Linked DNA regions of Stegostoma tigrinum. The protein of the gene in region 1 binds, or shares a complex with, the protein of each later gene. Links are inferred from orthologs where the notes say so. Each region holds a gene or a part of one and is shown in the gene's direction. Other genes may lie near its edges. The genes, in order: smc2, ncaph, ncapg and ncaph2.

What was found.
Region 2: smc2 (region 1) and ncaph share a complex: the UniProt entries of both Homo sapiens proteins name them as parts of the condensin complex. The link is inferred for Stegostoma tigrinum from reciprocal best matches to the Homo sapiens genes SMC2 and NCAPH.
Region 3: smc2 (region 1) and ncapg share a complex: the UniProt entries of both Homo sapiens proteins name them as parts of the condensin complex. The link is inferred for Stegostoma tigrinum from reciprocal best matches to the Homo sapiens genes SMC2 and NCAPG.
Region 4: the proteins of smc2 (region 1) and ncaph2 are in contact, whole or in part, in a cryo-EM structure (PDB 9F5W), measured with the Homo sapiens proteins. The link is inferred for Stegostoma tigrinum from reciprocal best matches to the Homo sapiens genes SMC2 and NCAPH2. Residues at the interface, in NP_001036015.1 of Homo sapiens: Leu93, Thr125, Gln128, Asp129, Cys132, Gly135, Leu136, Asn137, Met173, Tyr174, Lys177, Lys178; in NP_689512.2 of Homo sapiens: Glu46, Phe53, Ile54, Glu55, Leu58, Leu59, Gly62, Ser63, Ala64, Cys65, Val66, Lys69, Tyr73.

Annotation. Positions count from the first base shown.
Region 1 is NC_081356.1:31,467,925-31,475,138, reverse strand, and holds the start of smc2 (structural maintenance of chromosomes protein 2), read left to right. Parts: upstream 1-3,884; 5' UTR 3,885-4,241; coding exon 4,242-4,409; intron 4,410-6,501; coding exon 6,502-6,651; intron 6,652-7,214. UniProt on the Homo sapiens protein: Central component of the condensin complex, a complex required for conversion of interphase chromatin into mitotic-like condense chromosomes.
Region 2 is NC_081393.1:10,353,503-10,360,802, reverse strand, and holds the start of ncaph (condensin complex subunit 2), read left to right. Parts: upstream 1-4,297; 5' UTR 4,298-4,417; intron 4,418-6,002; 5' UTR 6,003-6,008; coding exon 6,009-6,226; intron 6,227-6,498; coding exon 6,499-6,586; intron 6,587-7,300. UniProt on the Homo sapiens protein: Regulatory subunit of the condensin complex, a complex required for conversion of interphase chromatin into mitotic-like condense chromosomes.
Region 3 is NC_081354.1:83,712,000-83,719,812, forward strand, and holds the start of ncapg (condensin complex subunit 3), read left to right. Parts: upstream 1-4,657; 5' UTR 4,658-4,770; intron 4,771-5,762; 5' UTR 5,763-5,778; coding exon 5,779-5,892; intron 5,893-7,813. UniProt on the Homo sapiens protein: Regulatory subunit of the condensin complex, a complex required for conversion of interphase chromatin into mitotic-like condense chromosomes.
Region 4 is NC_081378.1:21,665,688-21,673,891, reverse strand, and holds the start of ncaph2 (condensin-2 complex subunit H2), read left to right. Parts: upstream 1-5,081; 5' UTR 5,082-5,246; intron 5,247-5,691; exon of another isoform or gene 5,692-5,711; intron 5,712-5,824; exon of another isoform or gene 5,825-5,842; intron 5,843-8,204. Other genes in the region: lmf2a (lipase maturation factor 2a), read right to left, coding at 4,499-4,592. UniProt on the Homo sapiens protein: Regulatory subunit of the condensin-2 complex, a complex that seems to provide chromosomes with an additional level of organization and rigidity and in establishing mitotic chromosome architecture.

The DNA of each region.
Region 1 (7,214 bases):
GCCTCCTCCAGTATCACAATGAGGCCACAGGAGCATTGGAGGAAGAACACCTTATATTCCACCTTGGGAATTTACAATCCAATGGCTTCAACATAGAAGTCATGAGCTTCAAAAGTCTCCCCACCCCTGGCTTCATCCCATGTCCAGCCCTCCCTCTCATTCCTGCGTCCTTGACTTGACACAACCTGTTCTTCTTACTTCTCACCGATCCGCTCCACCCTTCCAATTGACCAAACTCTACATCCCCTACCTGCATTCACCTAACACCAGCCCACCTGCCTTTATCTATTTCTGAGCTCCCTTTCCCCAGTCCTGATGAAGGGTCCAGATCCAAAACTTTCATGTTCACCTGATGCTGCGTGACCTGCTGTGTTCTTCCAGCTCCACACTGTATTGACTATGACTTCCAACACCGTATTTCAATTTTCAGTCATTTATGTTTTGGACCACTTGAAATAAAGGCCAGCATCTCAGCTGGTCCCAATTATTTCAACAGAACAGCTCGGAACTTAAACTGGGATTATTTAACAACCTATTTGTTTGCCTTACTATCATAACTTTTTAATAGCTGGCTCATTTTATTCTATAAAATCCAGACCAATTTTCATTTAGAATGGATACTGACAATTTCCACTTTTGTGAAATATTTGGCTTTCAATCCCTAACAAAACCACTTGTGCCTGAAGTTAAGAATCCTTGTACCAGCTACAACAGATGGGAATCCCAAAATGTGACAATAAAGATAAAAAGAAAATTCCCACTAGATATTGTGCCATATATTTTGCACGCAAAGATTCCCTCATGGTACTATGAACATCCCAGTTAAGGTCTGGTAGGATATATTGGCTTAATCATTTTGAGAATGTTATTTCTAGAACATAACTTCAATTTATCTGTAGTCTTTTCCCTCCCGAAAGAATGGCATTATTTGCTATATCAATCTTTGTTGAAGTACATTATGCTACAGCGTAAAATATCACAGGGGTAGGCGATGGCCTAGTGGTATTATCACTAGACTGTTAATCCAGGAACCCAGCTAATGTTCTAGGGACCCGGGTTCAAATCTCACCATGGCATATGGTGGAATTTGAATATAATAAACATAAACTGGAATTAAGCATCTACTGATCACCATGAAAACATTGTCAATTGTCGGAAAAACCTATCAGGGAAGGAAATCTAACGTCCTTACCTGGTCTGGCTCCAGACCCACAGCAATATGGTTGACTCTCAACTGCCCTCTGAAATGGTCTAGCAAGCCATTCAGTTGTACCAATCATGACAAAGTCTCAAAGAAATGAAACTGGACAGATCACCTGGCATTGACCTAGGCATTGGAACAGACAAAGGCAGAAACAGCCCTAACGATCCTGCAAAGTCCTCCTTGCTAACATCTGGGGGCTAGTGCCAAAATTGGGAGAGCTGTCTCACAGACTAGTTAAGCAACAGCATGACATAGTTATACTCACAGAAGCATACATTACAGACAATGTCCCAGACACCACCATCAACATCCCTGGATACATCCTGTCTCACTGGCAGGACAGACCCAGCAGAGGTGGCAGCACAGAGGTATGCAGTCGAGAGGGAGTTGCTTTTGGAGTCCTCAACATTGACTCTGGACCCCATGAAGTCTTATAGCTTCAGGTCAAACATGGGCAAGGCCTCCTGCTGATTACCACATACTGTCCTCCCTCAGCTGATGAATCGGTACCGCCTCCATGTTGAACAGCAGTTGGAGGAAGCACTGACGATGGCAAAGGCACAAAATGTACTGTGATTGGGGGATTTCAATGTCCACCACCAAGAGCAGCAGTACTACTGATTGAGCTAGTCAGGTCCTAATGGACATAGCTATTAGATTGGGTCTGTGGCAGGCAGTGAGGAAATCAATGAGAGAAAAAAACATACATGACCTCATCCTTACCAACCTGCCAGCTGCAGCTGATCTATCCATGACAGTATCAGTAAGAGTGGCCATCACACAGTCCTTGTGCAGATGAAGTCCCACCTTCACATTGAGAATAACCTCCATCACATTGTGTAGCACTATCACCATGATAAATAGGACAGACTTCACACAGATCCAGCAACTCAAGATTGGGCATCCACGTGGCGCTGCTGGCCAACAACAGCGGCAGAATTGTACACCAGCACAATCTGTCACCTCATGGCCTAACATATCCCCACTCAACCATTACAATCAAAAAGATCAACCCTGATTCAAAGAAGAGTGCAAGAAGGTATGCCAAGAGCAGCACCAGGCATAGTTGAAGATGAGGTGTCAACCTGTGAAGCCATCAAACAGGATAACTTGCATGTCAAACAGCATAAGCAGCAAGTGATAGACAGAGCTAAGCGATCCCACAACCAAAGGATCAGACCTAAGCTCTGCAGTCCTATCACATCCAAGAGGAGGAGGGTCCATAAATATCAAGCAATAGTTTTACCCCTTTTATATATTCCTTAAAGCCAATCTTTTTTCTCGGTGCATTTGGTTACTTGACCCGATATGGCTGTATGGAATTCTTCCACAAACAGCAAATTATTCACTTTAAATTTGGTGATGATATGCTTTTTTAGCCAATAATATTATTATATGTGGAAGAGATGGGTTAAAGGAATTGAGGATAGATCAGCCATTATCCCATTAAATGTCAGAAGAGGCTCACATTATTATTTCAATGTTGAAGTGATTAATAAGAGTTTAAGGCGACACCAGATAGACATTAAGGCAAGAAGATTATAAGGATATATTGACAAGGTGAAGATAAAGATGAGAGGGAGGAGGCTCATAGAGTCATTACAGCAAAACAGGCATTCAGCCCAATGAGTCTGTGCAGCTTTGCAAAGTTTATATCCCCCAATGACCATGACAACTTCCAGCACCCTTGGGAGCAGGGATTCAAGACTACTCAATAATTGTGTTAAAAGCAAACATTCTTTCTCACATCCCCGTGGATATTTTTTGCCTAAAGCCTTAAAATGGTATGCCCTTATATCATTCGCAGATGTGAGATTTGCTTTATCTTCAACCTGTCAAATCTCAGCTTTTGTGCTCCTAAGATGCTGCTTGGCCTGCTGTGTTCATCCAGCCCCACACTTTGTTATCTTGGATTCTCCAACATCTGCAGTTCCTATTATCTCTGATCTCAAATCTCCCCTTGATGCCCTTTGCTTGAAGTAGAACAACAGATGTTCTTCCGATCTGACATACTCGCTAAATTCCCTTATTCCTGGAATCATTCTTGCAAACCTGCTCTGCACCCTCACATACTTCCCGAAATGTCGTTACTGGAGCTGAATGCTCTATTATTACTTATATACAAGCAGCAGATCACAGACATTGGGCTGAATGGCCTGGTTCAATGTTATACCTTAAAGGAACCAAGGTACCTGGATATTCACCTGAAGTGGTGTAACCTGCAAGGTTCTGGATCAGGTACTGGAAAGTGGCATGATCATGGGTAGCTAGTTTTTTTTTCAGCAGAGACACAAGGGGCTGAATGGTCTCCTTCTGTGCCGTAATGTTTTGATGGTTCAGTGGAACTTAGGACTCAGCAGGCCATTCAAACTTGTTCTGCCGTTCAATAAGATCATGACTGAACGCCACTTCTTTCATCTGAGTCCAATGGGTTGCGAAATGGTTGTTAAGTCTAACCAATCTGCAGAGTTTACCACACTCGGGACAGGTTTTACTTGATGGGTCGGGCAGACAGAAATGTTTGAGGGGGAGGTTTGAACACTCGCTGGAACGCATCGACTTCACCTCGGCGTGCTGCTAAGGAGGCCACTTTACGGGTCTGGGGCCTTACCGAGTGAGGGTCTCACGTTTGGAGGGGGATGACATTTCAAAGGCCTCTGTCACCCGCGGGTGGGACCACGTGATTTAGGGCGTGAAGACGTGGCCCCTTTAAGAGAAACCGCAGGGTTCTGCCCCGCATGGCAGGAACGTCATCGAAAGGCGCCTGCCGTCTCTAAATCGTCAATTTTCCACAAATCGTTAATTATTCTCCAAACGCCAGGAATCCGCCGCAATAATTACATTAATCTTGAGCTGCTGCGTTTTCTGTCTTAAAATTGCATGGCGGTACTGAGGTGAAAGCGCCACTGAACCAACTGAGGCCATTGAACTAACGGTCAGGGATTGGCGCCAAAATTTAAACTGCTGGGAGGCAACCGGAGCTCTCCGAGTTGCAGTGAAATTCCGGATTTAGTTTAATTTAACACGGTGAAGGAAAATGTATATAAAATCCATCATCATCGACGGCTTCAAGTCTTACGCGCAACGGACGGAGATTAACGGCTTCGATCCGCTCTTTAATGCTATTACCGGCCTAAACGGCAGCGGCAAGTCCAACATCTTAGACTCCATCTGCTTCCTCCTCGGCATCAGTAACTTGTCCCAGGTTCGACAGGGAAGTGGGGGGAAGATGGGGATCGCAAGTTAGGAGGAGAAGGGGGCGATCGGAGAAGGTGTAGGATGTGAAGGGTTCAGTGCGGCCCAAGGGACTTTAGGTGGTGAGAGAAAAGATTTTTAAAAAATGGGGGTTCAGAGGAGGAAGGGAAGGGGGTGATGGTGTTGGAAGATTGAGTTGAGGAAGTGAAATAGTGGTGATGGTGTAAAGTTGTGCGAAGGAAGGGGACAAAGGAGGTTGCTTTGGGGAGGGGGATGGAAGTGGGTCATGGAGATATACAACACAGAAACATCCTTCGGTCTAACTCGTCCGCATTAATTTAGTCCCATTTGTCAGCATTTGGCCCGTCTCCCTCCGAAAACACTTTCTATTCATTCAGCTGCCTTTTAAATGGAAACTGCGGATGCCGTAAATGAGAAACAAAAATAGAAGTTGCTGGAAGAGATCAGCATCTGTGAAGAGAAATCAGAAATGGGCAGTTCTGAGGAAGGGTCACCGGTCTCGAAACGTTAGCTCTGATTTCCCTTCACAGATGCTGCCAGACCTGCTGAGCTTTTACAGCAGCTTCTGTTTTTGTGCCTTCTAAATGTTGTAATTGTACCAGCCTCTTCCACCTCCACTGGAAGCTCATTGCATACATTCATCACCCTCTGTGTGCAAAAAGTTATCCCTGAGGTCTATTTTAAATCTTGCCCCTCTCACTTTAAATCTATGCCCTTTAGTTTTGGACTCAACTACCTAGGGAAAACACCTTGACTATACACCCTATTCATGTTCCTTTTTTTAAAAACCTCTATAAGATCACCCATCATCCTCCAATGTTTCAGGGAAAATAGTCTCACCCTATTCTGCCTTTCCCAATAACTGCAACCATGGTACCATCCTTGTAAATCTTTTCTGAACCCTTTCAAGTTTCACAACTTCTTTCCTACATCAGGGATACCAGTATTGCAAAAGTGGCCTAACCAATGTCTTGTACAGCCGCAACTCTCTTACCCAATGCTCTGACCAATAAAAAACAGGATATCAAACACCTTCTTCACTATTCTATCCACCTGGGACTCCACTTTCAAGGAACTATGAACCTGCACTCCAAGGCATCTTTGTTCAGTAACGCTGCCCAGGACTGTACCATTTAAGTGTATAAATACTACCCCCAATTTGCTTTTCCAAAATGCAGTATTTCATGTTTACCTAAATTAAACTCTGTCTGCCACTCCTTGGCCCAGTAGCTCATCTAATCAAGATCCTGTTGTACTCTGAGGTAACCATCTTTGTTGTCCATACATTTAAAATTTTGATGTAATCTGCAAACTTACTAACCGCACCTTGTACATTCACATCTATATCAGAGGAGAGTAGTATATTGTTGCTGAGAGCGGGGGAAGGAAGGACTGGAGTGATCTTTAAGAAATATTAAGAAACCATTTAAGAAATATTCACTTTGGTAGAAAAATTAAATGTGAAGTAACAACATTTTCCCACATGATGTTCCATCTGTGGTGACCTTGTCCACTCAGCTTGTCTAAATCTCTGCATCCCCTTCCCATTTATATTCCCATCTAGTTTGTGTCAACAGCAAATTTCAGTGTCCATCGAATTATTGATGTAGACTATGAAATCTGGGACCCATGCACTGATCGTGGTAGTACTAGTCACCTCCCGCAACCAGAAAATGATCAGTTTGATTTTGTTCCGTGTTCTGTATGTCAATCATTCCTCAATCTTTGCCGGTATATTCCTTCAAACTGATGTGATCTCATTTGGATTCCTAACCTCCTTAATGGCACCTTATTAACAGCCTTCTGAAGATCCAAATACACTCTGTCTATTCTGCGAATTACATCCTCGATAAAATCTTAACTAGTTTGTCAAAAAGATTTCCTTTTCATAAATCCATGTTAACTCAGAATCCTAATAGTATTTTCTAAGCCCAATTATCTTTGAGATTCCAATGTTCTTTTTACTATTGATATTAGGCTACTATTTAATTGGAAATCAATATAATGCTTCAGACATTTTGGGTTTTGGAGTATTTTAATGCTAATTTTCATTGCAACCTTGTTTTGTTGTCTGCTGTTAGGTGCGAGCCAGCAACCTGCAGGATTTGGTCTACAAAAATGGGCAAGCAGGGATTACAAAAGCCACTGTCTCAATTACCTTTGATAACTCTGACAAAAAACAAAGTCCTCTGGGCTTTGAGACTCATGATGAAATTACTGTCTCGAGACAGGTACTCTGCAACATTTCTATCGTATTTAATATTCCACAATGTTAACAATGAAAACTTCTTCAGAAGAGTCTCTTCCTGACTCTTCTGTCTTATGCCTTTTGAACTGGATACTGGTCCATTTTGTATTCTCACCCCTGCAAACTGGGATTGATTCTCAGCGGGTGAAGCAAATATGGCACAAGTTAAGGTCATATAGTGTCATATAGGATAATAGTTTGTTCTTCCTCGGTTGTGGAATCAGAGCTGATGCTCTCTGCACACTCTTGTAATGCCAGGGAGGTTCTTGTGCAAAGTTGTTACGACTAGGTGAGATGGTGAGAATTTTTTATTTCAACCTCCCTGGTTGGTCACACTAAAGCTTTGTGGTTTTTTTTAGCATGAGGCTATTATCTTTTTTCCCGTTAAAATAGTAAGCAGTACATCATAAGACTTTCTTCAGTGAAAGAACAATTCCTATTACCTGCTGATCCTGACAAAAATAAAAACACAATACCAAACTTACACTCGTGTGTAAAGTTAAAAATAGTGTCCTGTTCAAAAGAAACTTGAAAGGAACAAATAGT
Region 2 (7,300 bases), on another chromosome or scaffold:
ATGCTATGGCCTGTGTTCGATTCCCGGTCAGGGAACTCACGATCTCCTTTGCTAGTTTTGGGCGGTACAGTGGCTCAGTGGTGAGCACTGCTTCCTCACAGCGACAGAGGCCTGGGTTCAATTTCACCCTTGGGCGGCTGTCTCTGTGGAATGTGCACATTCTCCCTGCATCTGTGTGGGTTTCCTCCAGGTGCTCCAGTTTTCTCCCATAGTCCAAAGATGTACAGGCTAAGTGTATTGGCCTTACTAAATCGCCCATAGTGTTCAGGGATGTGTAGATTAGGTGGATTCTAGGGGGATAGGTCTGAGCACGATGCTCAGAGGGTGTGGACTTGTTGGGCTGAAGGGCCTGTTTCCACACTGTAGGGGTTCTAAGTAAGTACAACAGGTCCACACACATTACGAGTAGCAATAGAACGTCATTGGGTTTTAGAAGCCAGAAATATAGAAGATAGGAGCAGGGGGAGGCCAGTTGACCCCTCGAGCTTGCTCTGTCATATATATGATCATGACTGATCCCTCCTTCTCTCCACATCCCTTAATTTCTTTGGACAAGAGCAACATGAAATCCTTGAAAATATACAATGTTTTGGCCTCAACCACTCAACGTCATTGTGAATTCCACAGGCTCACCAGTCTCCAAGTAAAGAAATTTTCCTCATTTCACTCCTAAAATGGTTTACTCTCATCTTTAAACTATGACTCCTGATTCTGGACTCCCTCACCAATGGCAACATCCTTCCTGCATCTAATCTGTCAAATTCTGTTTAAATTTTCTATGAGATTCCCCCCACCCCACCATTCTTCCAAACCCCAGTTAATAGAATCCAAACCAACACAATCTCTTCTCCTATGTCAGTCCTGCCACTGCAAGAATCAGTTTGGCCAATATTCACTGCATTCCCTTGATAGTAAGAACATTGAGTGATTTCCAAGTGCTCTGCAATGAATTCACTGTCAATGGACTTCTGCACCTTCTCCATGACAATGTCAGAATCGCTGGTCCAGAAATTTGTGTTACGTTCCTCTGTCTTATCAAAAGGTGGGGTTACATTGGCTACTCTACAACCTCTAAGAACTATTCCACAGTTAAAAAAATCTTGGAAGATGACTGCCAATGCATCTGATATTTTGAAGGCTACTTTCATAAATACTCTGGTACAGAGATTCTCAGACCTTAGGATTTACCAGCCTTCAATTCCATCAATTTCTCCAAAACTATTTCTCCACTAATAGGGATTCACTTTAGTTCCTCCTTCTCACTAAATCCAAATTATTTGTGTCCTCCTTTATGACAACATAAATGAAGTGTGAATTTAATTTATCAGCTATTTCTTGTTCCCCATTTTAATAACGTCTGTTTCTGACTGTAAGTGACCTACATCAGTTTTCACTAATCTTTTTCTCTTTACAGAAACGTTGTCAGTCAGTTCTTCCGTTTTCCACAAGCTGACTCTCACTCTACTTCCCCCTCTTAATCAATGCCTTGGTCCTTCTTTGTTAACTTCTAAACTATTCCCAATCCTCCAGGAGATTTATTTTTCTTGCCAATTTGTATGTTTCTTTTTTTTTCCCCCAACTCATACTATCTCTAACTTCCCTTGTAAACCATGGTGTTGCCAGTGTTCTTTTGCACTCTTGTGCCAGACAGAAACAAGTTTTTGTTGTTTTCCCATTTGCACTTTGAATGTTTGCCACTGTCTATCCTCTGTCACTCCTTGCAGTAACATTTCCCAATCAATCAAAGTTAACTCCTACCACTGTAGTTTCCCTCATTAAAAATTCAGGACCTGAGTCTTAGCACCAAATACCTCACTCTCCGTCGTGATAAGAAAACCCGGTTGCTCATTACGGGTTGCTCATCCTGAAGAGGTCTTTCACAACTGCTTGACCAAGTATGCATTTTTCATGACATTATACCCAGTCTAAGACGGCCTGTTTTCTTGTTTCCTAGTCAATGAAGGCAGAATTCACACAAAATCTGGTTATAGTCCAACAGGTTAATTTGAAATCACAAACTTATTCAGCACTGCTCCTTGTTTCAGGTGAAGTCGAACGTGACGAAGGAGCAGCGCCCTGTAAGCCTGTGATCTCAAATAAACCTGTTGGTCTATAACTTAGTGTTGTGTGACTTCTGACTTTATCCACTCTAGTCCAACACTGGCACCCCAAGTCATGGTGAGTTAATGGAAAGAGGCCCTTTGGCCCATTGTGTCATGTTGATCACCTATCTACTCTAGGCCCATTTTACAGCACTTCCCCCCTCAGCTTGTCTGCCAAGGCATTTCAAGTGTTCATCAAAAATCTTCTTCAATGTTGCAACAGTTTCCACTCCTACCATCCTTTCAGGCAATGAGTTCTGGATATCCACCTCCCACTGTGAGAAAAAAAATTCTTCCTTGAATCCCCTCTATAGCTTCTGCTCCTTGCCTTGAATCTTTGCCTCCTGGTTACTGACCTCTCTACTAAAAACAAAGGTTACTTCCTATGTCCCTCCAAATTTTGTAGATTTCAATCAAGTATGTGACTCAACCCTCTCAAACGTCAAGGAAGCAACTTAAGCCTATCTGGGATAACATGGTGTGAGGCTGGATGAACACAGCAGGCCAAGCAGCATCAGAGGAGCAGGAAAGCTTGACATTTCAGGTCGGGATCTTTCAGAAATTTTTGAAGAAGGGTCCCGACCTGAAATGTCAAGCTTTCCTGCTCCTCTGATGCTACTTGGCCTGCTGTGTTCATCCAGCCTCACACCATGTTATGTCGGATTCTCCAGCATCGGCAGTTCCTACTATCTGTAAAGCCTATCTAGTCTCTCTTCATTGTTGAAACACTGGAACCCAGCAAACATCCTGGTGAATGTACTCTTGAGAACAATCACATGCATCCTATATACTGTGCGACAGGACTGCATACAGTCCTCAAGCTGCAGCCTCTGTAATGTTATATACAGCTCCAGAACAAGCTCCTTGCTCTTGATGTAATTATGCCATATGACTTCTTCACAATCTTGTTCACCTATCATGTTGCATTCAAAGATCTTTGGATAAGGGAAACAAGGTGCCTCTGAATGTCCTTCGGTCCTACAGTATGGTGTGAACCTCGGAGGCATAGCAGTCTTCCCCAAATGCATCAGCTCACTGTTTTCTAAATCAATTCCCATTTGTCACTGTTCTGCTCATTGGACTCACCCCAGTCACAAGAACATGCCTTGACCATCATCCTCAGCTTCCTGCCATGAAGCCAACCTTTGAATCCAATTTGTCAAACTGCACTGGATCCCATGGGTTCTAGTCTTCTTGATGAATCTCCATGTGTCAACTTGTCACAAGTTATTTTGGTTTTTAACACCAGTCAAAGAACCTGTGACCAAACCATTGTGCTGTACCAGAGATAATGGGAACTGCAGATGCTGGAGAATCCAAGATAATAAAATGTGAGGCTGGATGAACACAGCAGGCCAAGCAGCATCTCAGGAGCACAAAAGCTGACGTTTCAGGCCTAGACTCTGATGAAGGGTCTAGGCCCAAAACGTCAGCTTTTGTGCTCCTGAGATGCTGCTTGGCCTGCTGTGTTCATCCAGCCTCACATTTTATTACATTGTGCTGTACCAGTTTTGTCAGTGTGGTCAATACAATCAATGAGGCATGAGAGAAGCATTCATACACTGAAGTAAGCGCAAAGAAAAGTTGCAAATTGATCAGTCACCTCCAGAGTCTAATTTATAAAAGGACAAATAAAAACTGAGGAGCATTCAAAGCACAAGTCTGTTGTGCCTGTCAATAAAACCACGGTTAATCCACATCTATCACTTTCTCGCTTTTGCTGCAGGCCGGAAAGTCTTCTCACATTGTATTTGATAAAAGGCCTGGAATTCTCAGATGCGGCATTGGAGATTTTTTTCCCCCGCAGCCAAAGAAACCTCTGGAATTACTGAAGAAACAACTGCACTTGGAAATGTGAGGTCTGACGTGACGTTTGAAGAGGGGCCGAACGGCTTTCTTCGTTCACAGTCATCTTTCAGGAATGATCATGAGACGAACACTGTGAAGATCGGAGAAATTCAGGCAAAGGCACTCTTCGGTGTGTGTCCACGGATTTCTGTCAGTTTTGCTGATAATCCGTTTTTCCGAAAAGGCTGACGGTTCACTCCACTCGTTGCAAGAGGGCATACACATAAGGCACTGCGCGTGCGCAGAGCGACAACCTCCCCTTTCCCGGCGTGTTGCGCGTGCGCGGAGCGTCGCATCCCCGGGAACACCCAGCGAGCCGCGCGTGCGCACTATCGAGCCGCGGGAAAGTTTGAATTCCGATTGAAGTAACGGCAGAACGGAGCGAGATCCCGGCCGTCATCTTCCCTCTCCAACCGCGGGGTCGGATACAGCGACGTTGAAGAAATTCGGACATCTCGATCACTCAGGTCAGTGCGAGCCAGGACGATTTGAGGAGGCCTGGAGATTGTGTTTTTTTTTCATTGTTCGCTTATTGCATTAGAGCGGGCGGAAAAAGTTAGGCCGCAATCGCAACCCAAATCTCTCGGAAACATACACGTACGCCATCCTTTAACATCTGAACAGAGTGGGTGTGAATGTTTTCAACCGACACCCGGCGGACAGGGTGAGTGGTCGGTCAATCCAAGCTGAGTTGGACCGGGATTGTGGAAATTCAATCGCGCTGGCCCGTGTCCCCAAGTTCTGGCTGACACGCCTTCCTGCTTTCGTTGAGAAGTTCTTGGTTCAATACTGCGGCAATCCCTACACAAATCAACAGACCCACGAAAGAAATGATAAATAGCTCTGCCTGATTGCAGCAAATTACCAAATTCTCGTAAATAAAGCCATGAACTACGAATGTTGGGAAAGTTGAACCAAAAACACAAATTGCTGCAGAAACTTAACAGATCTGGCAGCATCCGTAGAGAGAAATCAGAGTTGGGTGTCCTGTAATCCTCCTTCAACACGGTTGGAGATTCTGAAGAAGGGTCACTGGACTGTAAACATTCTTTCGACAGATGCTGTCCGACCTGCTGAGTTTTTCCAGCAATTCCTGTCATTGTAGTCAGGTCTCAGTTCACTTAAGGTTCCTATTAGCAACTGCGTTGCTTGGCGTCAGGGGTTCCGGTTGCAGAGACGTCTGCGACTGTCGAAAGATAATAGATGAATGAAAATCGTGACGACGATAAGTAGATCAAAAATGCTTCACCGTAATGGCAGTAATTAAGGCGGCACTGTGGCTCAGTGGTTCTCTGTTGTCTGACAGGGCCTCGGGTTCAATTCCACCCTCGGGCGTCTGTCTGTGTGGAGTTTGCACATTATCCCCGGGTACTCCGCTTTCTTCCTACAGCCCAAAGACGTGTAGGCTAGGTGGTTTTCATCCCTGCAGTGTTCAAGGATACGTCGATTAGGTGGGTAATAGGGGGAATGAGTCTGGGTGGGATGATCAGCGGTCTCTGTGGACTTTTTGGGCCGAAGGGCCGGTGCCCACACCGTGGGGATTCGATGGTCACATAGTAGCTGAGCGTGAAACTTGAGTGAAGAGATTAAAGTGGTTTATTTGGCTGGATGAGGCACGCTGAAGGTGACATGAATGGCTGTAAAGCAAACCGAAGATCTGCAGATGCTGTAAAACAGGAACAAAAACAAAGTTACTGGAAAAGCTCAGCAAGTCTGGCAGCGTCTGTGAAGGAAAAATCAGAGTTAACGTTTTGTGTCCGGTGACCCTTACTCAGAACTCCTATGTGAAGGAGTCAGGTTGGTATGTTAAAAGCCATTTAAATATACATTAGAAGGAGAAATAATGGTAAATGTGCTTTCATGGCTCAACCATCTACGTAAGCACACTGGAATTTTGGAGGAGAAGGCCAGATCGTGGTTTCCCAAGACAGATCATGAAGTCTTGAACAGGTCAGACAGATGTGGGGAAAAGTGGAAACTATTGATTCCATGACTACAGCTTTTTATTGCTCTTTTGCTTGAATGGTCTTTTGTTGTATTTGTTTGTCACAGGGCAAAATGGATTCTTTGATCTCAGTTTCTCAAGTGGGGTCTTCTGACCACAAGTTTATTTCTCCAGCTACGAAGCGACAGGCTGTTCAGACTCTAAAGTCCTCTGTAAAAATGGATGTTGCAGCAAATGATGATGAACGTGAAAGGAGAGAGAGAAGGCGCTCAAAAGTGACAGACTTGCAACTAAGTGGCACAGAGAGCCCTTTGGTATCCCCAGTGCAAAGGTAGGTTTCATTGCACTGTTTCATTCTCATGTCACTTAGCATGTATTTGTGTATCATTGCTCCAGAGTGAACTCTGCTTCTGCTTTTCTTCTGTGCTGCTTCTGAACCCTGAGTATTGTCCAAAGGCCTTCCTAATTAACATTACAGGTTGCTACTTTTGTTGGTGTGATGTGTCAGAATTCTTGACTCTGGGTTTGTTTGAATGCTGAGCTGTGGACAAGTTGCTTTTGACCTTCAAAATAATTGATTCTGATTGTCATTGATTGTTGCAGGGGGACCCCACAATCCTTTGAACCCAAACTGTCAAATAATCAGATATCTGAACACTATTCTACCTGCATCAAACTATGTTCTGAAAATGTAAGTGGATGTTGACAGTTGTTCTGAATTCATAACAGACTCAGTTTTTTCTTTACAATGTCAAATTTGTTGAAAATTGGAATGGACACGTGCTTCTTGTACCGTTGCGTCAAATATAGACCTGCTGGAATGTGTCATTGGGTACTGAAGGAAGAAGCTACAGAGATAGTGGATGTGTGGGGAGTAATCTTCTAAGAATCCTTTGATTCTGGAAAAGTCTCAAAGAATTAGAAAACTGCCAACGTAATGCCATTATTTAAGAAGAAATGGAGGCAAAAAAAAACTTGAGGCCAGTTAAATTTATAGGTTATTGAGAAAATGTTAGAGGCTATTATAGAGGCAGTAACACCAGAGCAGTTAGAAATGCATCCATCAGGCAGATTTAGATATGATCAGGCAGGATGGTTAAATGGAATGTTGGTGTTCTTTACTGCAAAAGGAATAGAGTATAAAGGTAGCAAGATTGTGCTTATATATGCAAGGCATGAGTCAGACCACAGCTGGAACACAGTTTTGTGTCCCTTAGCTCAAGAAAGATATACTGGCATTGAAGGCAGTCCAAAGAAGATTCAGTTAGTTATTACCACATATACAACGACTGTCAAGGGTGGATAGGGAGAGCCTTTTTCCTAGTATTGTGATGGCGAGCACAAGGGGGCATAGCTTTAAATTGAGGGGTGAAAGATATAGGACAGATGTCAGAGGTGGTTTCTT
Region 3 (7,813 bases), on another chromosome or scaffold:
CATGTTTTTGTGAAGGGTAGGTCGTGTCTCAGTAAAGCGTTTGATAAGGTTCCCCATGGTAGGCTATTGCAGAAAATACGGAGGCATGGGATTGAGGGTGATTTAGCAGTTTGGATCAGAAATTGGGATAAAAGGCTCTTTTTCAGAATGGCAACCAGTGACGAGTCGTGTCCTGCAGGGTTAAGTGTTGGGGCCACAGCTGTTCACCTTATATATTAATGATCTGGAAGAAGGCTCTGGCGGCATTCTGGTGAAGTTTGCCGATGATACAAAGATAGATGGACAGGCAGGTCATACTGAGGAGGTGGGGAAGCTGCAGAAAGATTTAGATAGTTTAGGAGAGTGGTCCAGGAAATGGCTGATGAAATTCAATTTGAGTAAATGTGAGGTTTTGCACTTTGGAAAAAGGAATACAGGCATGGACTATTTTCTAAATGGTGAGAAAATTTGCAAAGCGGAAGTACAAAGGGATCTGGGAGTGTTGGTCCAGGATTCTCTAAAGGTTAACTTGCAGGTAGAGTCCGTAATTAAGAAAGCGAATGTAATGTTGTTTGCTCAAGAGGGTTGGAATATAAAACCAAATCTCCCCTTCCCCCACCGCATCCCAAAACCAGCCCAGCCTGTCTCTGCCTGCCTAACCTGTTCTTCCTCTCACCCATCCCTTCCTCCCACCCCAAGCCACATCTCCATTTCCTACCTACTAACCTCATCCCACCTCCTTGATCTGTCCGTCTTCCCTGGACTGACCTATCCCCTCCCTACCTCCCCACCTATACTCTCCTCTCCACCTATCTTCTTTTCTCTCCATCTTCGGTCCGCCTCCCCCTCGCTCCCTATTTATTCCAGAACCCAGATTCCATCCCCCTCTCTGATGAAGGATCTAGGCCCGAAACATCAGCTGTTGTGCTCCTGAGATGCTGCTTGGCCTGCTGTGTTCATCCAGCTTCACACTTTGTTGTCTTGGATTCTCCAGCATCAGCAGTTCCTATTACCTCTGATATAAAAGCAGTGATGTGCTACTGAGGCTTTATAAAGCTCTAGCTAGGCTCCATTTAGAATACAGTGTCCAATTTTGGGCCCCACACCTCAGGAAGGACATACTAGTCCTGGAGCGTGTTCAGCGGAGATTCACATGGATGATCCCTGAAATGGTAGGTTTAACGTATGATGAACAGCTAAGGATCCTGGGATTGTACTCATTAGAGTTTAGAAGGTTGAGGGGAGATCTAATAGAAACTTACAAGATAATGTATGGTTTAGAAGGGGTGGACGCTAGGAAGTTGTTTCCGTTAGGCGGGGAGACTAGGACCCGTGGGCACAGCCTTAAAATTAGTGGGGGTAAATTTGAAATGGAAATGAGGAGACATTTCTTCAGCCACAGAGTGGTGGGCTTGTGGAATTCATTGTCATGGAGTGCGGTGGAGTCCGGTACGTTGGATGCCTTCAAGGCAGAGATTGACAAATTCTTGATCTCAGAAGGAATCAAGGTCTACGGGGAGAGTGCAGGGAAGTGGAGTTGAAATGCCCATCAGCCATGATTTAAATGGTGGAGTGGACTTGATGGTCCGAATGGCCTTACTTCCACTCCTATGTCTTATGGTCTAAACCTTATTGGGTTCTTTGAGAAGGCGACCAAACAGGTGGATGAGGGTAAAGCAGTTGATGTGGTGTATATGGATTTCAGTAAAGCATTTGATAATGTTCCCCATGGTAGGCTATTGCAGAAAATATGGAGGCATGGGATTGAGGGTGATTTAGCAGTTTGGATCAGAAATTGGCAAGCTGTAAGAAGGCAAACGGTGGTGGTTGATAGGAAATGTTCCTCCTGGAGTTCAGTTACTAGTGGTGTACCGCTAGGATCTGTTTTGGGGCCACTGCTATTTGTCAGAGGGCGTAGAAGGATGGGTTAGTAAATTTGTGGATGAAATTAAAGTCGGTGGAGTTGTGGATAGTGCGGAAGGATGTTGCAGGTTACAGAGCGACATAGCTAAGCTGCAGAACTGGGCTGAGAGGTGGCAAATGGAGTTTAATGCGGAAAGGTGTGAGGTAATTCACTTTGGAAGGAGTAACAGGAATACAGAGTACTGGGCTAATGATAAGACGCTTGGTAGTGTGGATGAGCAGAGAGATCTCTGTGTCCCTGTGCATAGATCCCTGAAAGGGTCCACCCAGGTTGATAGGGTAGGGTTGTTAAGAAGGCATACGGTGTGTTAGGTTTTTTTGGTAGCGGGATTGAGTTTCGGAGTCAAGAGGTCATGTTGCAGCTGTACAAAATTCTGATGTGGCCACACTTGGAGTATTGCGTACTGTTCTGGTCGCCGCTTTATAGGAAGGATGTGGAAGCATTGGAAAGGGTGCAGAGGAGATTTACCAGGATGTTGCCTGGTATGGAGGGAAGGTCTTATGAGGAAATGCTGAGGGACTTGAGGCATTTTTCGTTAGAGAGAAGAAGGTTAAGAGGTGACCTAATAGAGACATACAAGATGATCAGAGGATTAGATAGGGTGGATAGTGAGAGCCTTTTTCCTCGGATGGCTAGCACAAGGGGACATAGCTTTAAGTTGAGCGGTGATAGACATAGGATAGATGTCAGAGTTGGGTTCTTTACTCAGGGAGTAGTGAGGGTGTGGAATGTTTATCCAATGACCATATAAATGCCCTTAAACTTGGCGAGTCTACTGCTGTTGCAAACAAGATATGAATAAACAAGATATTTTTGAGCTGACAGGCTATAACCAGTTGTGAAATGCAAGGATCTGTATTTGAAACTTAGCTGTTCACAGTCTATATTAATAACTTAAGATGATGGGCTGATTTTATAACATTCTAATTTGCAAATGATCCAAAATTAGCTGGGAAATAATCAGTGAGAAGTGCATTAGAGTTTGTAGGGGATATGGTAACATTGGCTGCATGGACAAAAGGGAAAAAAAGACTTTCAATTATTTTAGCACTTCATGTCCATTGACATGTCAAAATCTGAATTATTTTGAATTATAGTTGCTGCTATAATGTAGTAAATATAGCAGCCAGGTTACACATAATGAATTCACAAACAGTAATGTGATAATAACCAGCTAGTCTTCTTTTTGTGACAAAAACAGAAAATGCTGGAGGAACTCAGAAGATCTGACATCTGTGGAGAAAAAGCAGAGTTAATGTTTTGGATCCAGTAACCCTGCTTCAGAACTGATTGAAGTTAGGAAAAGGTTGGCATAAAAGTGGAAGGTGGAATGGGGATAGGAAGAAATGATAGATGGAGATGGAGTCCAGAGAGAGAGAGAATAGCAATTGGGCAGAAAAAGGAATGGGCAAATGGCCAGCCTGGGAGAATCCTTGGCTGCTAATGGGACTATTAATAGCTGACAATGGGTTGGTTGTGGCAGCAGCCCATGTGTTAATAAAGCCTGCTATTTTGGGGAGTTCAGTGAAGAACACGGAAGTAGGTGTTCAGGCCCTAAAATTATTGAACATTTTTATATCAAGCACGGAAGGGGGGCGGCATGGTGGCTTGGTGGTTAGCACAGCTGCCTCACAGTACCAGGGACCCAGGTTCAATTCCATGCTTGGGCAACTGTGTGTGGAGTTTGCACATTTTCCCCATGGTGCATGGTTTCCTCCAGGTGCTCTGGTTTTCTCCCACAGTCTAAAGATGTGCAGGCTAGGTGGATTGGCCATGCTAAATTTCCCATCGTGTTCAGGGATGTGTAGATCAGGTGGGTTGTACAGGGATGGGTCTGGGTGGTCTCTGAGGGTCAGTGTGAACTTGTTGGGCCAAAGGGAATGAGAAGAAAATGAAACTTTGCTCTTCCAGTTTGTGCTGAACTTCTCTTTGTGATGTTGGTTGGTGCTTAAATGAGGGCCAGAACTCCACAGATAGTTCTTCTGCTTTTCTTTGAAATAATGCCATGGGACCCTTTACTGTACATGCGGGAAGATGGGACCTTGAGTTAAGATTTCATCTGGAAGATGGTGCCTCCAACACTGAAGTGCTCCTTCAGTGCTGCACTAGACTGTCAGCCTTCATTTTTGTGCTGAAGCCAGAACCTTATGGGTAGAGTGGTACCAGCTTCTCCATGGCTAACATATAAAAACAAGATGGTGATGGGAACATCGATCCGTATGCAATCCATAGTAGCAGATTCGTTTTTTTCTAATCGACCAAAAATTCCATTATATCCATAAACATGGCTGATATCTCTATTAAAAAAATTGTGTAGCTACTTGTGAAAATAAAAACTACACTTTCTTGGTGCTCATTAATAACTACTGATGAATAAATAGTGAGTTGTGCTTTTGTTTTCTTGTCTAAGTCCTCAATTTTGTTAAGCATTGCTCAAAACTTCATTGAGTAAAATGACTTTAATCTTTTCCGATTGAGGGAAACAGTACATTCATAGTGATCTAAATATGTTAACTGGCTAGGAGTTGTCTCCATTTGGAAGTGTCTCCGAATAAACAGCAACAGACATCCCAAATTAGACCATGGATCGAGCCACAATCACATTGAACTACGGCAGACGCTGGAAGGATAAATATCCCCACTAAGCCCGCCCGTTCATAGCCACACCCCCCTCATAGCCACGCCCCGGCATCGGGAGACCCGCCAGGCCCGCCCCCTGCGGTGCCTGCGCTTAGATCACCATCTCGCGAGAGGCAGTTTGAAATTTCTGGCGGTTGTTGTTGGCGGTTCGCGCTGAGAGCGGGTAAACAAAAAGGGGGCTGCTTTGTGGCAGAGCGGACTCGAGAGAATCATAGACAGCTAGAGAGGTGAGACCGCGGGGGCGGGGATTATCGGGGAAGGCTGAGGCTGGGGAGTAGTTGATGGGATGGGGAGGGGGGTGAGGGCTGTCGGTGGCGGGGAGGTGTGGGCAGGCGGGAATGGGGAACCGAAGGTGAGTCTGAGGTGGGGTTGGGGGCGATTGGGCAGATGTAGTTCCGACAGGGTTGGGTGGTGGGATGAGTGATCATCAGTGTCAAAGATTAGGCAGGATATTTTTAGTCCTAGGTCTTGTGTTTTCTGTCTGGCTTCAGTGAGGAGGATCACTGAAGATCTTATAGGAATTTATGACTCACATCCCTGCCTTCGTGACTCATCACAGTGATGCTTTGAAAACTTGGAGCAAGCCTATCTTCACAGTAGCAACACTGACTAGGACATCTCCAACTGTTGGGCCGTCCATTCCAATCTGATGCCATACGTTGTCACTTCACTAGTAGTTGGAAGATCTGCTGTTTGATTCAAAGTTGCTCCTAGTTAATACTTTTTCTAAATTGCACAAATCCTCAATGCTTATCTCACACAGGACTGGTGGGGACATTTGTCCCGTGGAGCGGCATGGTGGCTCAGTGGTTAGCACTGCTGTGTCACAGCTCCAGGGACCTGGGTTTTGTGTGGAGTTTGCAGATTCTCCCTGTGTCTGTGTGGGTTTCCTCCCACAGTCCAATGATGTCCAGGTTAAGCGAAATAGCCATGCTAAATTGCCCATAGTGTCTGGGGGATATGTAGGTGAGGTAGAATAAGCAAGGGAAATGCAGAGTTACAACAATGGGGTAGGATGGGACAGGTCCAAATGGGATCCCCTTCGGAGAGTCGGTGTGGACTCGATGGACAGAATAACCAGCTTCCGTGCTGTAGGGATTCTATGATTCTTCATATTCACAACTGAACAAAACTTTTTAACCGTTGGAATTATAACTGCTTTGAAAGATCCTGTTGGACAGTAATTTATGATTCATTAAATTTATATTGTCTGTTTCAGATTTTTTTCCATATAAATGGGTACACAAAAAAATCAAATGCTCCAAATACAACAAGCCTTTGAAAAGGCCCAGAAAGGACATCAAAATCTTGCAAAGTTGGTGGCAGGTCTTAAACAAATATACAATCAGGTACAGTGAATTGCATAGTATTTAGACAAGACTGCAGTATATCAAATTTCCTTACCAGAAATTGTATCAGAGATAATGGGAACTGCAGATGCTGGAGAATCCGCGATAACAAAGTGTGGATCTGGATGAACACAGCAGGCCAAGCAGCATCTTAGGAGCACAAAAGCTGACGTTTCGGGCCTAGCCTTCATCAGAAAAGGGAGATGGGGAGAGTGTTCTGAAATAAATAGGGAGGGGGGGTGCGGATCGAAGATGGATAGAGGAGAAAATAGGTGGAGAGCAGACAGACAAGTTAAAGGGGTGGGGTGGAGCCTGTAGAGGTGAGTGTCAGTGGGGAGTGGGTATGTCAGTCTGGGGAGGACAGACAGGTCTAGGGAGTGGGATGAGGTTAGTAGGTAGGAAATGGAGGTGTGGCTTGAGGTGGCAGGAGAGGTAGGTGAGAGGAAGAACAGGTTAGGGAGGTGGGAACAAGCTGGACTGGTTTTGGGATGCAGTGGAGGGAGGGGAGATTTTGAAGCTTGTGAAATCCACATTGATACTATTGGGCTGCAAGGTTCCCAAGCAGAATATGAGTTGCTGTTCCTGCACCCTTTGGGAGGCATCGTTGTGGCACTGCAGGAGGCCCAGGGTGGACAAGTTGTCTAAGGAATGGGAGAGGGCATTGAAATCGTTCGCGACTGGGCTGTTTATTGTGAACCGAGTGTAGATGCTCTGCAAAACAGTCCCCAAGCCTCCGCTTGGTTTCCGCGACGTAGAGGAGGCCACAACCGGTACAGCGGATGCAGTATACCACATTGGCAGATGCACAGGTGAATGCATCATCCTCCGACACTTCCGCCATCTACAACCCGACCCCACCACCAAAGACATTTTTCCCTCCCCACCCTTGTCTGCTTTCTGGAGGGACCATTCTCTCCGTGACTTCCTTGTCCGCTCCACACTCCCCTCGACCTCCTCCACACCTGGCACTTTCCCCTGAAACCACAGGAACTGCTACATTTGTCCCGACACCTCCTCCCTTACCCCCATCCCAGGCCCCAAGAAGACTTCCCACATCAAGCAGAGTTCACCTGCACATCTGCCAATGTGGTATACTGCATCTGCTGTACCTGTTGTGGCTCCCTCTGCATCGGGGAAACCAAGTAGAGGCTTGGGGACCGCTTTGCAGAACATCTACGCTCGGTTGGCAATAAACAACTGCACCTACCAATCGTGAACCATTTCAACGCCCCCTCCCATTCCTTAGATGACATGTCCATCCTGGGCCTCCTGCAGTGCCACAACGATGCCACCCAAAGGGTGCAGGAACAGCAACTCATATTCCGCTTGGGAACCCTGAGGCCCAATGGTATCAAGTGGATTTTACAAGCTTCAAAATCTCCCCTCCCTCCATTGCATCCCAAAACCAGCCCAGCTCATCCCTGCCTCCCTAACCTGTTCTTCCTCTCTCGTATCCCTTCCTCCCACCTCAAGCTGCACCTCCATTTTCTACCTACTAACGTCATCCCGCCCCCTTGACTGCTTGACCTGTACGTCCTCCCTGGACTGACCTATCCCCTCCCCACCTACACACACCTCTACAGGCTCCATCCTCGACCCTTTAACTTGTCTGTCTGCTCTCCACCTATCTTCTCTATCCATCTTCGATCCGCCTCCCCCTTTCTCCCTATTTATTTCAGAACCTTCTCCCCATCTCCCTTTTCTGATGATGATTCTCGGCCTGAAACATCAGCTTTTGTGCTCCTAAGATGCTGCTTGGCCTGCTGTGTTTATCCACCTCCGCACTTTGTTAACCAGAAATTGTATTTGTTGCATTTCAAGTCTAGATTGATCACTTCAAAGTGAATTTAAACAATTTGCTTTGGAATTTTAATATAAATCAGAAACATTATCTAGGAAACTATTCATCATTTTTTTATTC
Region 4 (8,204 bases), on another chromosome or scaffold:
ATTCCATTTTTGGCCATTTAATGTGTATTCTCCTGCCTTGTTAAGCTTCTCCGAATGGTTATCTCTCACCTGTTCACACTGAATTCCACCTGCCACTTTTCTACACATCGATCAGTCCACAGCTTTCGGCTTCCACTATTAACAACCATTGCAAACTTTTTAAGCATGCCCTCTAGAGTTACTCTAAATCAGTGATTTATAACACAAAAAACGAGCAATTTAACACTGAGACCTATGGAACATAGCTGGAAAAACCTTTCCAGTCACAAAAAAACATGGATCATTGTCTTTTGTTTCCTGCCCAAAGGCAATTTTGAATCTCATGGTTTTTACTTTCGAGGCTACTTTGCATTAAAACTTGTCAAAAGCCTTCCCAAAATTAATCAGTTGTGCCACTTTCTCAAAAAAAATTCAGCAAAGTTAAATAGACTTATCCTTTCCTAAACACATTTCTGCTGTCTTAAATAAATGTGCCGTTAAATGACAATTTATATCGTGCCTCAAAACTTTCCCTAATAAATTGCATTGGGTTTAGGATGGGCTGTCTGTAAGTACTTGATCAATCCTTTTCTCCCTGTTTAAACAAGGTAGAACCTTGACAGCCCTATATTTGTAACCAAAAAGACTGGAATTATTGCAGTCAGATCCACCTTAACTTTCTCAATTGCTTCTCCCAGCAGCCTATAATGTACATAATTCAGACCCAGTTATTTACTGACTTTCAAAGATTCCACTGCTCTTAAAGTTTCCTCTCTATGTTTATTCTGTTCAATATTTTATATTCTGTAACTATGAAATCACTTCCTTTATTTTGTGGAGGCGAATGCAAGTTATTAATTAAGAACCATACCCTTGATTTTGGCCTCTACACACATTATACCTTTCTAGTCTCTATACGGCCCTACACTTTTGGCTATCTGTATAGCCTTTATGTATTTCTGGGAAAAAAGTGTTTCAGTGAAACTATATGTATTGACAAACTAGCTTTGATGATTCTCTCATTTTGCTTTTCAAATGTCCTGTCTAGGTTTGCTCCTGCCCTTTCTACATATCCCTCAGTTACTGCGTTACTGGTTCTTAGCTGTTGCATGCTGTTTCACATTGAGGGAAGCCTGTATTTGGAACTCCTAAACCTTATCTCTACAGGAGTACATTTATGCCAAATATTCTGTCTCCTTCATGTATGCCTCTCATTGTTCTGACACTGGTTCATCCTTGAGTAGCTGTTTCCAGTCTTTGCCAAAGCACATCTCACAACTTTTACTTTTGTGGCTACTTTGCATTAGAAGCTTGTCAAAAGCATCCAAAATCAATCAGCTGTGCTACTTCCTCAAAAAAAATTCAGTGAAGTTAATAACTGTAGAAACATTGGTCTCAGGATAAGATCACTGAAGAATGTCATTTCGTGTATGTGCATGGTTTCTGAACAATCATATTACCTAGTGACATTTCCCAGTGTTCTGTGTAAACCTCCTGCACATCATTCCTTTGCAAAATAATAAAACTCACTTTTTGAATATCTTGTTTCAAACTTCCTCCACCACTCTCCAGTCCATTCCAGGCCCTAACACTGTACTATGTGCAAAAGCTTTTCCTCGTAATTTTCTTGGCTGAACAATTACTTCAATCTATACCTTTTATTTCTTGGTCATTTCAGGAGAAACAGTTTCTTCCTATCAATTCTATTCAGACACATCTAAATTTTGAGTGCCTTTATCAGACCTCCTCTCATCCTTCTCTTGGCCAAAGGAAGGAGCCCCAACTTCTTCAATGTATCTTTACGACTAAAATTAATTTCCCTAGAACTAACCTTGTAAGTCTCAGCCCTCTACAATGCCTTCACATCCTTCCTGAAAAGTTAAACTGCCATTGTCCTGGAGGACCACAGGACTGCTCTCTCATGATAGAGACAAGACTGGTAACGAATTTAACCTGAAGATCAACATGTCTCAGGCAATGAGAGAGGTTGACAAGTTGGGGCCTTCATGTTAACCTTGCTTGTGTGCAAATGAACCCACGCTACTGGGGTCACTCTGCACTGTAAGCCAGCTGTCCAGCCAACTGAGCTAACCAACCTCATTCTTTCTAAACTGTGACACCAGAAACTGTCACAGTAATCCAACTGAGGCCAAACTATGCAAGTTCAATGCAATCTCAAGTAAAAGCAAAATATTAAAGATGCAGGAAATCTGAAATAAAAACAAAGTGCTGGAGAAACTGAGCAGATCCAGCAGCATCATTGCAGGAACAGAGTAAATATTTTCAAATCAAAGATTACAAAGGGACATTGATAGGATGCAGAGATAGGCTGAGAAGTGGCAGATGGAGTTTAACCCTTAAAAGTGTGAGGTGATTCTTTTGGAAGGACAAACTTGAAAGCAGAATAAAAGGGTTAATGGAAAGATTCTTGGTAGTGTGGAGGAGCAGAGGAATCTTGGGGTTCACGCTGGCAGTTCCCTGAAAGCTGCGACCCAGGTGGATACAGTTGTTAAGAAGGCATATGGTGTGTTAGCTTTCATTAAGAGAGGGATCGAGTTCAAGAGCTGCAAAGTTATGGTCCAGCTATACAAAAGCTTGGTTCGGCCACATCTGGCATATTACGTCCAGTTCTGGTTGCCTCAGTACAGGAAAGATGCAGAAGCGTTGGAAAAAGTGCTGAGAAGATTTACCAGGTTGTTGCCTGGAATGGAGGGAAGGTCTTAGGAGAAAAGGCCGAGAGAGCCAGGGCTTTCCTCTTTAGAACGACGACGGATGAGAGGTGACTTGATAGAGGTATACAAAATGATCAGAGGCATAGATAAAGTGGACAACCAGAGACTTTTTCCTAGGGTGCAGGTAGCTGTTACAAGGGGGCATAGTTTCAAAGTGAGTGGAGTAGAATGCATTGCCAGACAGGGTAGTGGAGTCGGTCTCATTAGGGGCATTTAAGTGGCTATTAGATGGGCATATGGATGATAGTGTAAGGTAGGGGTGCAAGTTAGATAGAGCTTAGGATTAGGGTAAAAGTTCAGCACAATATTACAGGCCCTTCGGCCCACACTGTGCTGTAAAAAAAATACTGTACTCCAAACGTTTCTCTTTCCACAAATATTGAGGAGTTTCACCATCTGACTTGCTGATTTCAATATAATTTCCTGGCTGTATATCCATGTTAAAAGCCTTTATCACACCTGAAATTGGCCAGTGACAAAAAATTCAAGGAAAGGGAGTGGACAATGTGAAAAAAGAAAAATGTTACTTTTAGGATCTGCAATAGTTATGTTTTGAAAGTCCTTCTGACATCATCTTAATGGGAACGGCACACAGCCTCAGCTAAACAGCCCAATCACAGTCCCATACTGGCAAACAGCTCTCTTCCAATCACAGCTGCCATCTTATCAGAATGGAGTTCAACTGATCCTACGATTCAGAATTTCACCCTTGCAGGTGAAGCACAACATTCTGACTGCTGGCCTGTTGTTCTCACTGGTAGATGATTCAGGAAAAACTGTGCATTCAAATGAAAACTTCAAATCCACACACGCACACGCGTTAAAAAATTACAGACAGAAGTGATAGAGATAGAAGATGCTTGGCCTGCTGTGTTCATCTAGCCGTACACCTCGTTATCCCATGAGAGAGAATATGTTGCTTGTCCAACATGACTCTCATTGGACTCAACGTTTTTGTATTACTCTCTGCAAGGTACTGCCACACCTGGTTTTCTTCAGCACTTTGTCTTTACTTGGGAAGCTTAAGCTTCCCTGGAAAGAAATGTGATGGAGAGAGAGAGAGAGAGCACTCACGATGTTCAGAAACATGGAAATAAAACGCCTAGCAGGTTTCTTCTTTAATAAAAGTCATGGGGTGGTGGCTTTTCTGTTCGGACTAGCATTTATTGCCCATCATCTTCAGGGTAACTAGGAATGATGCTGAGCTGCCTTCTTGAACCTCAATAGGGGAGGGTTCACAGTATGGAATGGTTTCAATGAACTGACTGCAATGGTCATTTCCTAAACATTATTCCCTCCATACATAGCACACAATTCAAGTCTCGCACCAAAATAACCATGCAATCTGAAGCAAACTCGCACCAAACTCGAAACGTTACTTCAAACTCCCTCTCTCTCCCCCCACACGCTGCCAGATCTGCTGAGTTTCTCCAGCATTCTGTGTTTGTTTTAGCTTTACAGCATCTGCAGTGTGTTGCCGTTAACTATAGAGTGGCTCTGCTACACCAGAGTCCCCAGATCAAAGTCTAAACTGCACCACTTCATAAACACAAAAATGCACTCTGTCAACATTAACAGCAACAACTCTTTCCAAACTGCCAGCCAACGCTAACTCACACGGTGCTGTTTTGGAAATAAACGATGTGTTCCACTTCAGTCGGTTTCCTTCCATTAACCACACCTCTCCCTTCTCCATGAGGCTCCTTTACCCAACTCCCGCCAACTGACTACACTCTTCACCGAGGCAGAGCTTTTAAAACCCAGAATATCAGTGTCATCACTATTACCTGGGATCTGTACATAAAGCGAGGTGAATGCACACAAGTAAATAGCATTCGTGCCCCAGAGGAAAGCTGCCCGCGACAACACAATCTCCCCCATTCCGAGCTGCAGGCCTGGACATAACCACTCTCATCACCGCAAAGGGGGGGGGGGAGGTGGTCAACAGCTTCGATCCATAACGATTCCATTATAATAGCTCACAATATAACTCAGACTGAGTCGCGCTTTGAAATAATAACCACATTTTGAAATATATAACCAGATTATCCACGGTGTTTTTTTTTACTTTAAGAAGTTTCTAAAGTTACTATTCCCTGTTCCCGGAATGGATTGCTCTTAATCGTTACCGTCTTTCTGCATTTGCAGCCTGTACCATCATGGCAGAAGGGGAGATCATCTCTAAACATCTGAAAAAAAAACAAAACAAAGTAATAATTTCAAATTAAAATTTAAACCCGCGTTAAAAATTTAGCGATCTGGTTTTATTGTGATGGAAATTCTTTCAAACTCTGTTTTCTTGCCTCTTACTAGTAGACTAATGATTGAGTCCGTGTCGCGCGCATGCGCATTCTGTGGTTTGTACCTGCGCGGGAAAAACAAAAAATGGCGCTGGCCTAAAAACGGGTAAAATAAAACAATCAGAGAAAAGAAGGGAATATTCAGAGAAAATAGGGGAATATTTTGAGAACTGGATTTATAATAATCGTGCTTGAGAAATGTGGAACGTAGCTAGATACGGTTCTTCGGTGGGGGGTGAGTCTCGGCTTGTCAGTGTCAGTTCGAATCTCCTTTTGTTAAATATAGTTTCTTTCAGATTTCTGTGATTGTATTCTTGTTCGTTACAGTTTCTTGTGTTCTGGTTTTGAAGAACGGCCCACTTCAATCATTTACTAATTTCTTCCCTACAGTGTCTGATTGAACCACTTCTGTTTACTGCAGTTACTGGTTTACTTCTTGGCGGCAACAGAAATCAACTTGTCTTTAATAATATGATGTAACAGAAAAATAAAACGTGTGAAATATATTGGAATGGACCATTGTTATTTATTGCAAAGGGCTTTGGTGCGCAAACGTTGGGAAATGTCATTATAGTTGTTCGGCCCTTGGTGAAACCAGGTGTCGTAGACAGTTTGGTCACCTGAAGAAATAATGTAATCGTATTGGAAGCGCAGAGAAGGTTGAATCGATTGATTTCTGAAATGAGGAAAATATGGGCAGGTAGGGCTCGTGTACCTTGGAGTTCAGAAGAATTAGAGCGTATATTGTTAAAATATGTAAGGTACTGAAGGCAATGGGCAGGATGAATGGTGGCAGGACGAGAGAGATTCGGACTAGGAAACAATTTTAAAGTGAGAGGTTTCCCATTTAAAATGGAGATTGATGAGAATTATTTTCCTGAGCAGGCCATTAATTTGTAAGAGCAGTGGAGGCATGGTCATTGAACATTTTTAAGGGTGTGTTAAATATATTCTTGACTGAAAAGAAAGTGATGTTTTAAAAGGATGTCAGAGATAGCAAAGTGTGAAGCTGGATGAACACAGCAGGCCAAGCAGCATCTCAGGAGCACAAAAGCTGACGTTTTGGCTGTGCTCCTGAGATGTTGCTTGGCCAGCTGTGTTCATCCAGCTTCACACTCTGTTATCTTGGATTCTCCAGCATCTGCAGTTCCCATTATCTCTTCTTTTAAAAGGATGTCGCTTGGGCTGTAAGGTTTGAGTTATAGGGAGAGGCTGAATAGGGTGGAGTACTGAAGGCTGAGGGGTAACCTCTTAGAGGTTTGTCAAATCATTAGAGGTCCAGTTAGGTGAATAGCCAAAGTCTTTTTCCAAGGGTGGGGGAGTCCAAATCCAGACGACATAGGTTTTAAGCTGAAAGAGCATTGATTTTTAAAAAGGATCTGAGGGGTGACCACTTCACGCAAAGTGTGTATGCAACAAGCTGTTAGAGAAAGTGGTGGAGGTGTGTACAATTGCAACATTTAAAAGGGATTTGATTGGGTGAATGCATGGTTTGGAGGGTTATGGGTTAAATGCTGACAAACGGGTCCAGGCCAGATTAGGGTGTCTAGGTAGCACAGACTAGTAGGACCGAAGGGTCTGTTTCAGAGCCGTATGACTCCATTAATCAAATGGTGTAGGGGTAGATAGGAGCAGGTACAGGGTGCTGAATCACCTACTCCTGCTCTTAATATGAATGTCTGTGGAACAGCTCTTCAAGGTCAGAATTCAGGACGTCAGAAAAACTGATGTCACAATAATCAGTTTATTTAATTCTGTTGTGTAACCTTAATTGTTATTGTATTATCATTATCTGAGTAATGTACTTGGATGAGACACTATTGCCTCAATAATGAGGACTTATTTAAGTGATTAAAGTAATTCCCAATAGACTTTTTGTTTGCTGTATAAACCGTAATTTCATGGCCTCAGACATTGGTAGCAAATTACTGACTATTGTACTCCAGGAATAGGGTTGGAACCGAGCTGCGTTTTCCCCATGTATTATTTCTCATTTTTTCTGTTAGGATCTCTGCCTGAGGTAGTGTTGACTAGATGAAACAGTGTGTGATGTGTTTTAAAGCTTTGAAATAACAACATTATTTTTAACCCTTCTTTCCCAATCATGCCTCCTCTTCCTCCAACCCATGTTTTTGTTGCTCTTTCTGTAGTAATGATTTCTTGGTTCGATGATTAGTGGCTTTTTGCTTTGTTCCCTATATGCTTTGATTATGTATTCCTTTTAAATGAACATCTTGCCCAATTAAAGAGATGTTTAAAAATTCTTTTAAAGGTTTTGCAAACAGATTGTTTACAGTCTGTTGCTGATGTTGTGGGATTTGATTTGATTTGATTTATTATTGTCACATATGACATACAGTGAAATATATTGTTTTGTGTGTGAGACAGGCAAATCATATCCTACATAAAGTACATTCAAATGCTAGAACAGAATACGAATATAGTGTTACAGGCTTAGAAAAGTTGCAGAGAAAGAACAAGTTTAATACATAAAAGGTCTGTTCAAAAGTCTGCTAATGGATGATATCAGTTCATCCACATGAACATGACAAAAAAGGACAAGGAATTTGTATTTAGCTTTTTAATTGTGGAGGTAGACTTTCTTTTGAATTCAAGGAGGCTGAAGTCTAGAAAATAAGAAGATTATGACTTGTTATTTTGCTTGTGGTTTGTGATCTTGTCTCCGAGCCTGTGACCTAAAGACCCTAAATGTGAGGGGCAAATAACTTCCATCCTGACACTTACTGAGACACAGTTAGCCATGATGTCTGAGCCAGTGGCTGTCACATTCAGTTTACTGTTTATACCAAGCCTCCAGGAACCAATAATAACGGAAGTTGGGACTAAGTGTTCTGACTCTAAACATATGTGACAGAGTTTTGAACCCATACCTGGATACTGCTCGACTACCACCAACTATCTGGAGTCTGTCTTCACGATTCACCAAGGAAGGAAATAGCAATAGTTTATGAAGCATCCCTAGATTTCAGAGTTTCCGTCTGAAACCATGATTGGAGATGAAAGTGCTGTTCATGTAGAGGATAAACACCAACACAATTGACTGCGCTAGATGGACCTATTTGAGTTCTAATCCTGCGTATCTTATAGTTTGTGCTTTTATAAGCACCTTCCTGTCAGGTACCTATCTAAATTCCTGTCGGAAGGAATCCTCTTCATTACATTTTAATGTTTG